Linked DNA regions of Coturnix japonica. The protein of the gene in region 2 purifies or fractionates together with the protein of the main gene of each other region. This does not show direct contact. Links are inferred from orthologs where the notes say so. Each region holds a gene or a part of one and is shown on either strand. Other genes may lie near its edges.

The links. Proteins that work in one complex are often made in the same cells at the same time.
Region 1: the proteins of VCP (region 2) and PSMA4 fractionate together in Homo sapiens (co-fractionation; 5 studies listed by BioGRID, with this or other methods). This does not show direct contact. The link is inferred for Coturnix japonica from reciprocal best matches to the Homo sapiens genes VCP and PSMA4.

The regions. Positions count from the first base shown.
Region 1 is NC_029525.1:2,860,085-2,863,831, forward strand, and holds the start of PSMA4 (proteasome subunit alpha type-4), read right to left. Parts: upstream 2,403-3,747; 5' UTR 2,285-2,402; intron 2,070-2,284; 5' UTR 2,045-2,069; coding exon 2,042-2,044; intron 1,878-2,041; coding exon 1,835-1,877; intron 1,813-1,834; exon of another isoform or gene 1,721-1,812; intron 1,139-1,720; coding exon 976-1,138; intron 1-975. Other genes in the region: HYKK (hydroxylysine kinase), read right to left, coding at 2,509-2,972, 3,084-3,267. UniProt on the Homo sapiens protein: Component of the 20S core proteasome complex involved in the proteolytic degradation of most intracellular proteins. This complex plays numerous essential roles within the cell by associating with different regulatory particles.
Region 2 is NC_029547.1:7,825,138-7,828,784, reverse strand, and holds part of VCP (transitional endoplasmic reticulum ATPase), read left to right. Parts: coding exon 1-123; intron 124-1,576; coding exon 1,577-1,707; intron 1,708-3,164; coding exon 3,165-3,296; intron 3,297-3,647. UniProt on the Homo sapiens protein: Necessary for the fragmentation of Golgi stacks during mitosis and for their reassembly after mitosis. Involved in the formation of the transitional endoplasmic reticulum (tER).

The DNA of each region.
Region 1 (3,747 bases), on a different chromosome or scaffold from region 2:
TGCTGACACTCACAAGAGGCACTGGCTACACAGCAGGACCCACATAGAGGCCAGGCGCTGACCATATCAGAACCCATATGGACCCTCAGTGCAATCTGCTGACTGCATTCATATGAACATAATTTAGTGATACCAGCCATTAGAAAAGTAACTGCTTTAGCTGAAAATTCATCTTTGTTGTAATTGTTTTATTAGCTCTTAATTTAGCAGATCTTTGCCAAACCTCATATTGCCACAGAGCTTTCAGTACACAGACCATAACTGGCAGTTGTTATCTTAGCAGTTCCTCAGAACAGCTGGCCTGGGCAGCTACTCCAGTGCACTTCTTACATCACCTCCTTGAAAATCCAGCTCCAGCTGCCTTCAGGATAACACAGCATGGGAGACTGACAGATGAAAACCTACTGCTCGTGTTTCACAATGCACCTTACAGCAAGGCTGAAGCTCCACCTCCCCTACAGGCAAGACAGAGTAACACTGAACTTCTGGAGAAGCTAAGAAGCTCAGAGCAGTGAGATAAGCATCTCTGCTACAGCTGCAGCAAAATAAGCCAAAGCAGGTTTTATCCAATTTGTTTCAGTCTCTGAATCACAACAGAAAAAAAGAGACTTAAAAGGGAATGCTGAGCTGATACAGTGCTTGGATTTGTGCATTCTCTATTTCCTTCCTCTTGTTATTCTGTAAACCAAGAACTGCCAATTTAATATTGATGTAATATCATTACCCGGTATGGGTAAGTACCAACAGGTTATTGCATATAAGAAGTTCTCTTCGGAAATAAAAACATGATGCTTCTTCAGAAAAATCACTGAAGCAAATAACAATACAACAGCCCTGGATGCCTGGAACACGGCATAAAACTCATACAAACCCTCCAAACAAAACAAATCCAGGTTCAGTGCTAAAATGCTTGAGTAACAACAGTACTTAGGCACAGGTAGCACCAGCAGCCAGACAGACATCACTGCAACTTACTCGTTCAGTTTGTAGATTTTTTCTGAGAAGAAAACTTCATCGAGCAGCTTATGAATGTTGCGCCTCTCTGCAGCCAGCAGGACGCCGTCGTTGGCCAGGATGCCCAAGCAAGTACCTGCGTGCCCTATTGCCTCCATGGCATATTCCACCTGGTACAAGCGGCCTAGGAAACGAGTTACATCACAACACTGATAAGGCAGCACTGAATGAGACCATATATAAGGAAAGGTGAATTTGCAGGAGTTACACAGATGCCCATTTTACAGTTTAGGACTCGTTCCTTGGGCTGGGGCCAGCAAATGAGTTTTTAGAAACAAGTGCAGAAACAGAAAAGTGCCCTATCTTGATAAGGTAATCATGGGTGTAATTAGTGCAGAGAAGAATTACAGTTTAAAGAGTAGATGTACTTTGGAAGAAAGTCAAAATGGGCTTTAAAAAAAACAATGGAATCATTGATACTGGACAGGTTGTCTCTTAAGACAAAAAACATGACTTGTAACAAATCACAGCAGCACTAACAGTAACAGAACAGTAACAAAATCCATCCATGCTCCAAGGAAAGGTGAAGGGCAGTGACTTATTAAGGAACTCTTTGAGCAGTGGAATGTGGTGCAAATCCACAGGTGTGAATGGGGTGTGATCACACCGATGCCTGGATTAGATGAGGACTGGGAAGCCTTCGCTGTGTGGCTGTGGTGTGCACACAGGGCTATTCTGACAGGTGAATACGGTCTGTGCAACTCACACGGGGATGGACACACACTGCCAGCAACCAACCGGCCCTGGGATTTACGTGTTACGTCTGAGAGGAGGAACGGCAGGCAGACGGTTTAATTAGAAGCGTAGGGTTACAAAGTACCTTCCGGAGAAAATATGGTGGTTCTGGAGTCATATCTTCGAGACTGCAAGAAGCAACAGCTCGTTAAGGCCCGTCACCGTCCTCCCCAACACCGCACCCAACAGGAGCAGCTCCGAGGCGGCCCCACAACAGCCCCGTGCTGAGGTGCAATGTCGGTACCGCCCCCCCACCCGCGGCCCTCGCACACACTCACACACACACACTCACCATGGTGCCGGAGCGGCGCGGAGCGGGCCTGCAAAACAGCACAGCGCGTTAAGGTGAGCCGGGTGATCCCACACGGCCCCGAGCACAGAGCGACCCGCCCCATCCCCGCCTGCAGCACCGAGCGCCCCGGGCCCGGAGTGCGGAGTCATCCTCACACAGCCGAAGGGGGCACCAAGGCCGCACCGCCCGCCCCTCGGCCCCTGCTCTCACCCGCCCTCCCGCTCCCTCCCCCCCCTCACTCACAGCGGCCGGTATCGCGCTGTGCCGAAGCGGCGCTGAGGAACAACGGGCGGTTACACCGGGCGCTGCACAACCTCGGCACCGGCACCGCGCGTCGGAAATGGCGGCCGCGCCTGCGCAGTGCGTCACCCCCACGTGACCTCGCGGTCCCAATGGCGCCGCTGTGCGGAAGGAGCGCGGCTCCGCCATGTTTATGGCAGCGCCGCCATGTTTATTGCAGCCCCGCCTCACGGGGCGGTACCTCTCGTCGCGTACAGCGCGGCCGTATCGAACCACACCTTCTCCACCGCCTCCCGGCCCCGCGCACACATGTCCGTCAGGTGCTTCCAGCCCGTCCTGGCCGTGACCATCAGGTACTCGGCGTTCTCCGGGTACAGCAGCGCCGTGTGTGCCGCCATGACGAGCGACTGCGCGAAGCGGCCGCACACGAGCATGAAGAGCGCGGCCCGCTCCGCGGCCGACAGCGGCTGCACGCTCTCGAAGCCCGCCAGGATGTGGCCGCCCACACGGAGCGGCTCGGAGCTCTCGATCATCATGTACATGATGGCGATGGCCAACTCGAACACGTAACAGCCGTAGCTCATGTCGCTGAAGTCCAGCACGCCCGACACGCGGTACCGCGGGGTCGCCCCGTGCGGAGAGCAGGGAACCACCAGGATGTTGTGGTCGTTGAGGTCCCCGTGGTTGATACCTACACGGGAGCGACAAACGGTACTTAATAACTAATAACTAAGGTGTTTCCTTGGCTGCGACCCCGATCTCCTGGAACAAACTGTGACGTGATTGAGAATAAAACACTCACAAGCTCGAAAGCTGCTTATCTTGGGCGTGACTTCCTCCCTGAACTGCTGGATGACCCATTCCACAACAGCCCGGTGCTGGTTCTGGCCCAAGGCGCCCACGTACTGATCCAGCAGGGGGACGTTAGCCAGGTTCCAGATGAACTGAGCTCGATGCAGACTTGCTACTGATGGGTGATGGAACTTCTGCGGGAACAGAACAAAACAGGCCATGAGTTAAAATCTGTGCTGAATACCGACAAGTAAAAGTAGAGTCTGAAGGATTATTTCATCATAGAATCACAGAATGGCCTGGGTTGAAAAGGAGCACAATGACCATCTGGTTCCAACCCCCTGCTGTGTGCAGGGTCACCAACCAGCAGCTCAGGCTGCCCAGAGCCACATCCAGCCTGGCCTTGAATCCTGCAGGGATGGGGATCCACAGCCTCCTTGGGCAACCTGTTCCATTGAACAATAAGACTATTATAAGCCTATCAATACCTACATAAAACCTGAATGGTTTTCCTCCATTCTTCCCGTATAGATTATCCTAAACCCTTTGTCTCCAAATCGCTTCAAATCAATGGTGACTTCCTGCAGTGTGACAGGGATGCTGTTGCATGGAGGCCCTGCCAAAGCTGCAGTCACACAGCTGGATTCTGCAGCTGGTGCTATAGAAGCTGCTGG
Region 2 (3,647 bases):
TGAAGTATGGCAAACGTATCCACGTGCTGCCAATTGATGACACAGTAGAGGGGATCACAGGGAATCTCTTTGAGGTCTATCTCAAACCATACTTCCTGGAGGCATACAGACCCATCAGGAAAGGTAACAGCACTTGTTATTGAAGTCCTGTTTATGTGCTGTAGTTCTGAGACTGAGTAAAGAAAATTTCTCTGCACTTGCACAAACCTACAAGGCATCAGACTGGCTGGTAACTGTAGAGTGAGATTTTACTGATGCTGATATTTGTTCATTTATTTTGCTACAGTGAATGGGAGCATGTTAACTAAGTTGCTACCACTTGACAGGATTGGGTATTTGCTTTTGTGCTTTTGTATTAAGCAATTGGTTGGATATGCCAGATGACACCCTAATTAAATTCACTTCTTGAAAATAATTCAATCAATAACTGAAAGAGTGCTTGGAAAACCAATTGCACTTTTAGAGCTATGCTAGTAGCACATCTGCTGGAACAAGAAGGTCCTAACACAGCATAAGTGCAGGCTGAATAAAGTTTTCCAGTTTCTGTGGCCCAATTTAGTCAGATATGTATTATCCTACTAGAAGCAAGCAGTTGTTGCAACTAGTAACAACTTAGGAAGATAAATTCAAAGTAAGTTTTTTATTATGTTAGGGATTTTTGCTCCTTCCCTTGTTGCTTCTGGATAGAATTTCTTCTTTGAGCTGGTAGGTGGTAGTAGGACATTCAGGGATTGACTTTGCACTTCTTTGTGTGCACTGGAACAGCCACTCCAGAAAATCACCTGTTTGGAGCAGTGGTAGCAAAAGCAGTGTACAGATGGTGGCTGGAGTGAATTTCTATAGTGAAACAGTCAGCAGTAGCTGTCCTCGAACATAAAGCAATGGAAGTCAAAGTGAGGCAGTTGGAGAGCTGTATGAAAAAACACCTGTTTTGGGATTGAGTCTCATGTAGCTCTGCATATTTCTTGAAAACCTTTGGTTGCTCAGGGTGGCATACCATTTCAGTATGCCTTTGGTTTCTCCTATCTCATGGCTTTTCACTTGTGGTAGCACTGTCTACTGTCCCTTAGGCTATACACTACAAAAGAGCTGACTGCTTGCAAATTGATAGCTAGTTTCTAAAGCAGACAGAGAAAAACATGAGAATCTTTCTTTTGGACCCTATTATTAGTCTGTTTGCCTTTTTTTTTTTTTTTTTTCAGCAGTATCTGAAGGGCTTTTTCTTTTTTCATAAACAAAAGGATTTCTAAAACAGCTAAATTGAAATTGAATGGAAAATAGACATGATTAATTATGTTTAATTGTTTGGTACTTAGTTGGAATATTCTTTTCTGTTGTTTTCTGTTTTTTTCTGCATGAATTTGAGAAAATTAAACTGCTACAGGTCTTAAGTGATGTCCTGATAGTCACAGTGTGTGTAGCTCTCAAGTCTGAAATGCAGAGCAATATGAAAAATGCCAGTGGCATATATATGTATAGCCTACTTCCTTGTCCATTGAGGCTGCTGGATAGCACAGGAATTGACATTTTGGAGGATGTCAGTTGCAACAGGATACTGAATTGTGGGTTTTCACAGGTGACATTTTCCTGGTGCGTGGAGGGATGCGTGCAGTGGAGTTCAAAGTGGTGGAGACAGATCCAAGCCCTTACTGCATAGTGGCTCCAGACACAGTGATCCATTGTGAAGGAGAGCCCATCAAACGAGAGGTGAGCAGGATCTTATCACACAATTCTTGTACTGACTCCAGTCTGTCCTGTGAAATCTCTCTGTGACAGTGTTTTCAGGTCTGGGAATGGCATTTTATGTATTGAATGAACCTCTGGAAGCTCTCTTTCCAGGGGATGAGCTGATGCTGGCAGTAGTTGGAGAAATGTGCTTCCACTGTCCTTCAGATACTGGGATTACACTAATGCTTAGGCCATAATTTGGTAGCAGCTGGTTTTGCATCTGTTCCAGGTATCTATTGCTGGGCATTAAGTGGAATTTATGGGTATTAAATGTATCATTTAACTCCAAAGTTCCCTTGATCCATAGCAGGAAGGCTTAAACGTGTTGCTAAATTTCATGCCACGTGAGGAGACAGCAAGTAATGCTTTTTGAGTGAGATAATTGAGATTTCTAAACAGTTGGTTTTGTTTTAACTTTATTTCAAACCCTTGAGATATCTAACCTTGGTCATCCGAAGTTTAAGACAGCCTGAGCAGCTGGTCCATCAGGAATAGGCCACTTTATTTTTATAGAAAAGGAAATCTCAGGAGTAGGGATAATTTGGCCATGACTACCTTTTAACTAGCTGCAAGTCAGACTGGGTGCTGTTCTCGGCTTAGCTCCTCTCTCTGTTCAGCAGTTATGGGACACTGAAGGAGACCTCTTTGGGCTTATGAGGACACCACAGAGGCAGACCAGGAGCAGGTTCAGCCAAGGCTACCAAAATGATGAAGAGCTGGAGGTCAAAATAAACGAGATAGGGCAGCCTAGAGTAGGAAAGGTGCAGCAGAAGGCCTACTGGCAAGGTGGAAAGCTTTAGGCAGCCTGACTTTTCTGAGAGCTGTGACCAGGGACAGGACTAGAGGCAGTGGCACAAGCTGAGTCAAGAGAAGTTCCAGGCAGATACTAGGAAAAAGTTTCCCAAAGCCTACAGCAAAGCCTAGAGATCTCCTCTAAGATTCCAGGTGATGTTAATTAATGATTTTATTGTGACCTAATGTTATAGTGTCCTGGTTTCAACTGGAACAGAGTTGATTTTCTTCATTGTGTCTGATATGGTGCTATGTTTTGGCTTTAGGATAAAAACAATGTTGGTAAATTCTGATGATAGTTGTTGCTGAAAAACACTGTCTGGAGCCAAGGACATTTCAGTTTTTTAGCTTCAGGCTGTTATGCAGCAGGGTGGGTTCTGCTGAGAACCCCCTGTGGGGGTCCATGGGGTGGACCCTGTCCATGTGGGTGTCTCCGGGGGTTTCCTATGGCAGGGAATTGCCATTGAATGTTTGGGTAGTCAGAGCTAAGAAACAAATGTGAAAGACATGAGAAAGACTTGAAAATGAGATTCTCAAAACAACAAAGAAATTACATTGAGCAAAAGCCCAGACTCCTGAAACTGGGAAGGGATTGCTGAACCATTGTTTTCACTCAAGTGTTTAATGCATTTCCTTCCTTGTAGGATGAAGAAGAGTCATTGAATGAGGTGGGTTATGATGACATTGGTGGCTGCCGGAAGCAGCTGGCTCAGATCAAAGAGATGGTGGAACTTCCTCTCCGACACCCTGCTCTCTTCAAGGCCATAGGGGTGAAGGTAAGGACCTGTGTGCATCAGGTGGATGAGTGGTCTTGCTTTTGCTGATGGCTCATAATCTAGGAGGCTTAGGACATACTGGAGGGGAATAAGTAAGAGGAATAACTTGTGTGTTGTTTTTGTCTTTTTTAGTGCTGGTATGAGGGGAGAATTTCCTCACATATTTTACAGATTGAAGCACTGGCACCTGTAAAACAGTGGTGTTTTGAATAAGTGCTGTTGGTTACTGGCTAGGTTTTTGTTTGTGTGTCATGTGAAGCAGTCAGGTTGTTGATGATAGGATGGCAGCTGTTGCATGAGGTTGCATCATGATTTCAGAGTGACTTTGTCAAAATGCTTGTGATTTCACTG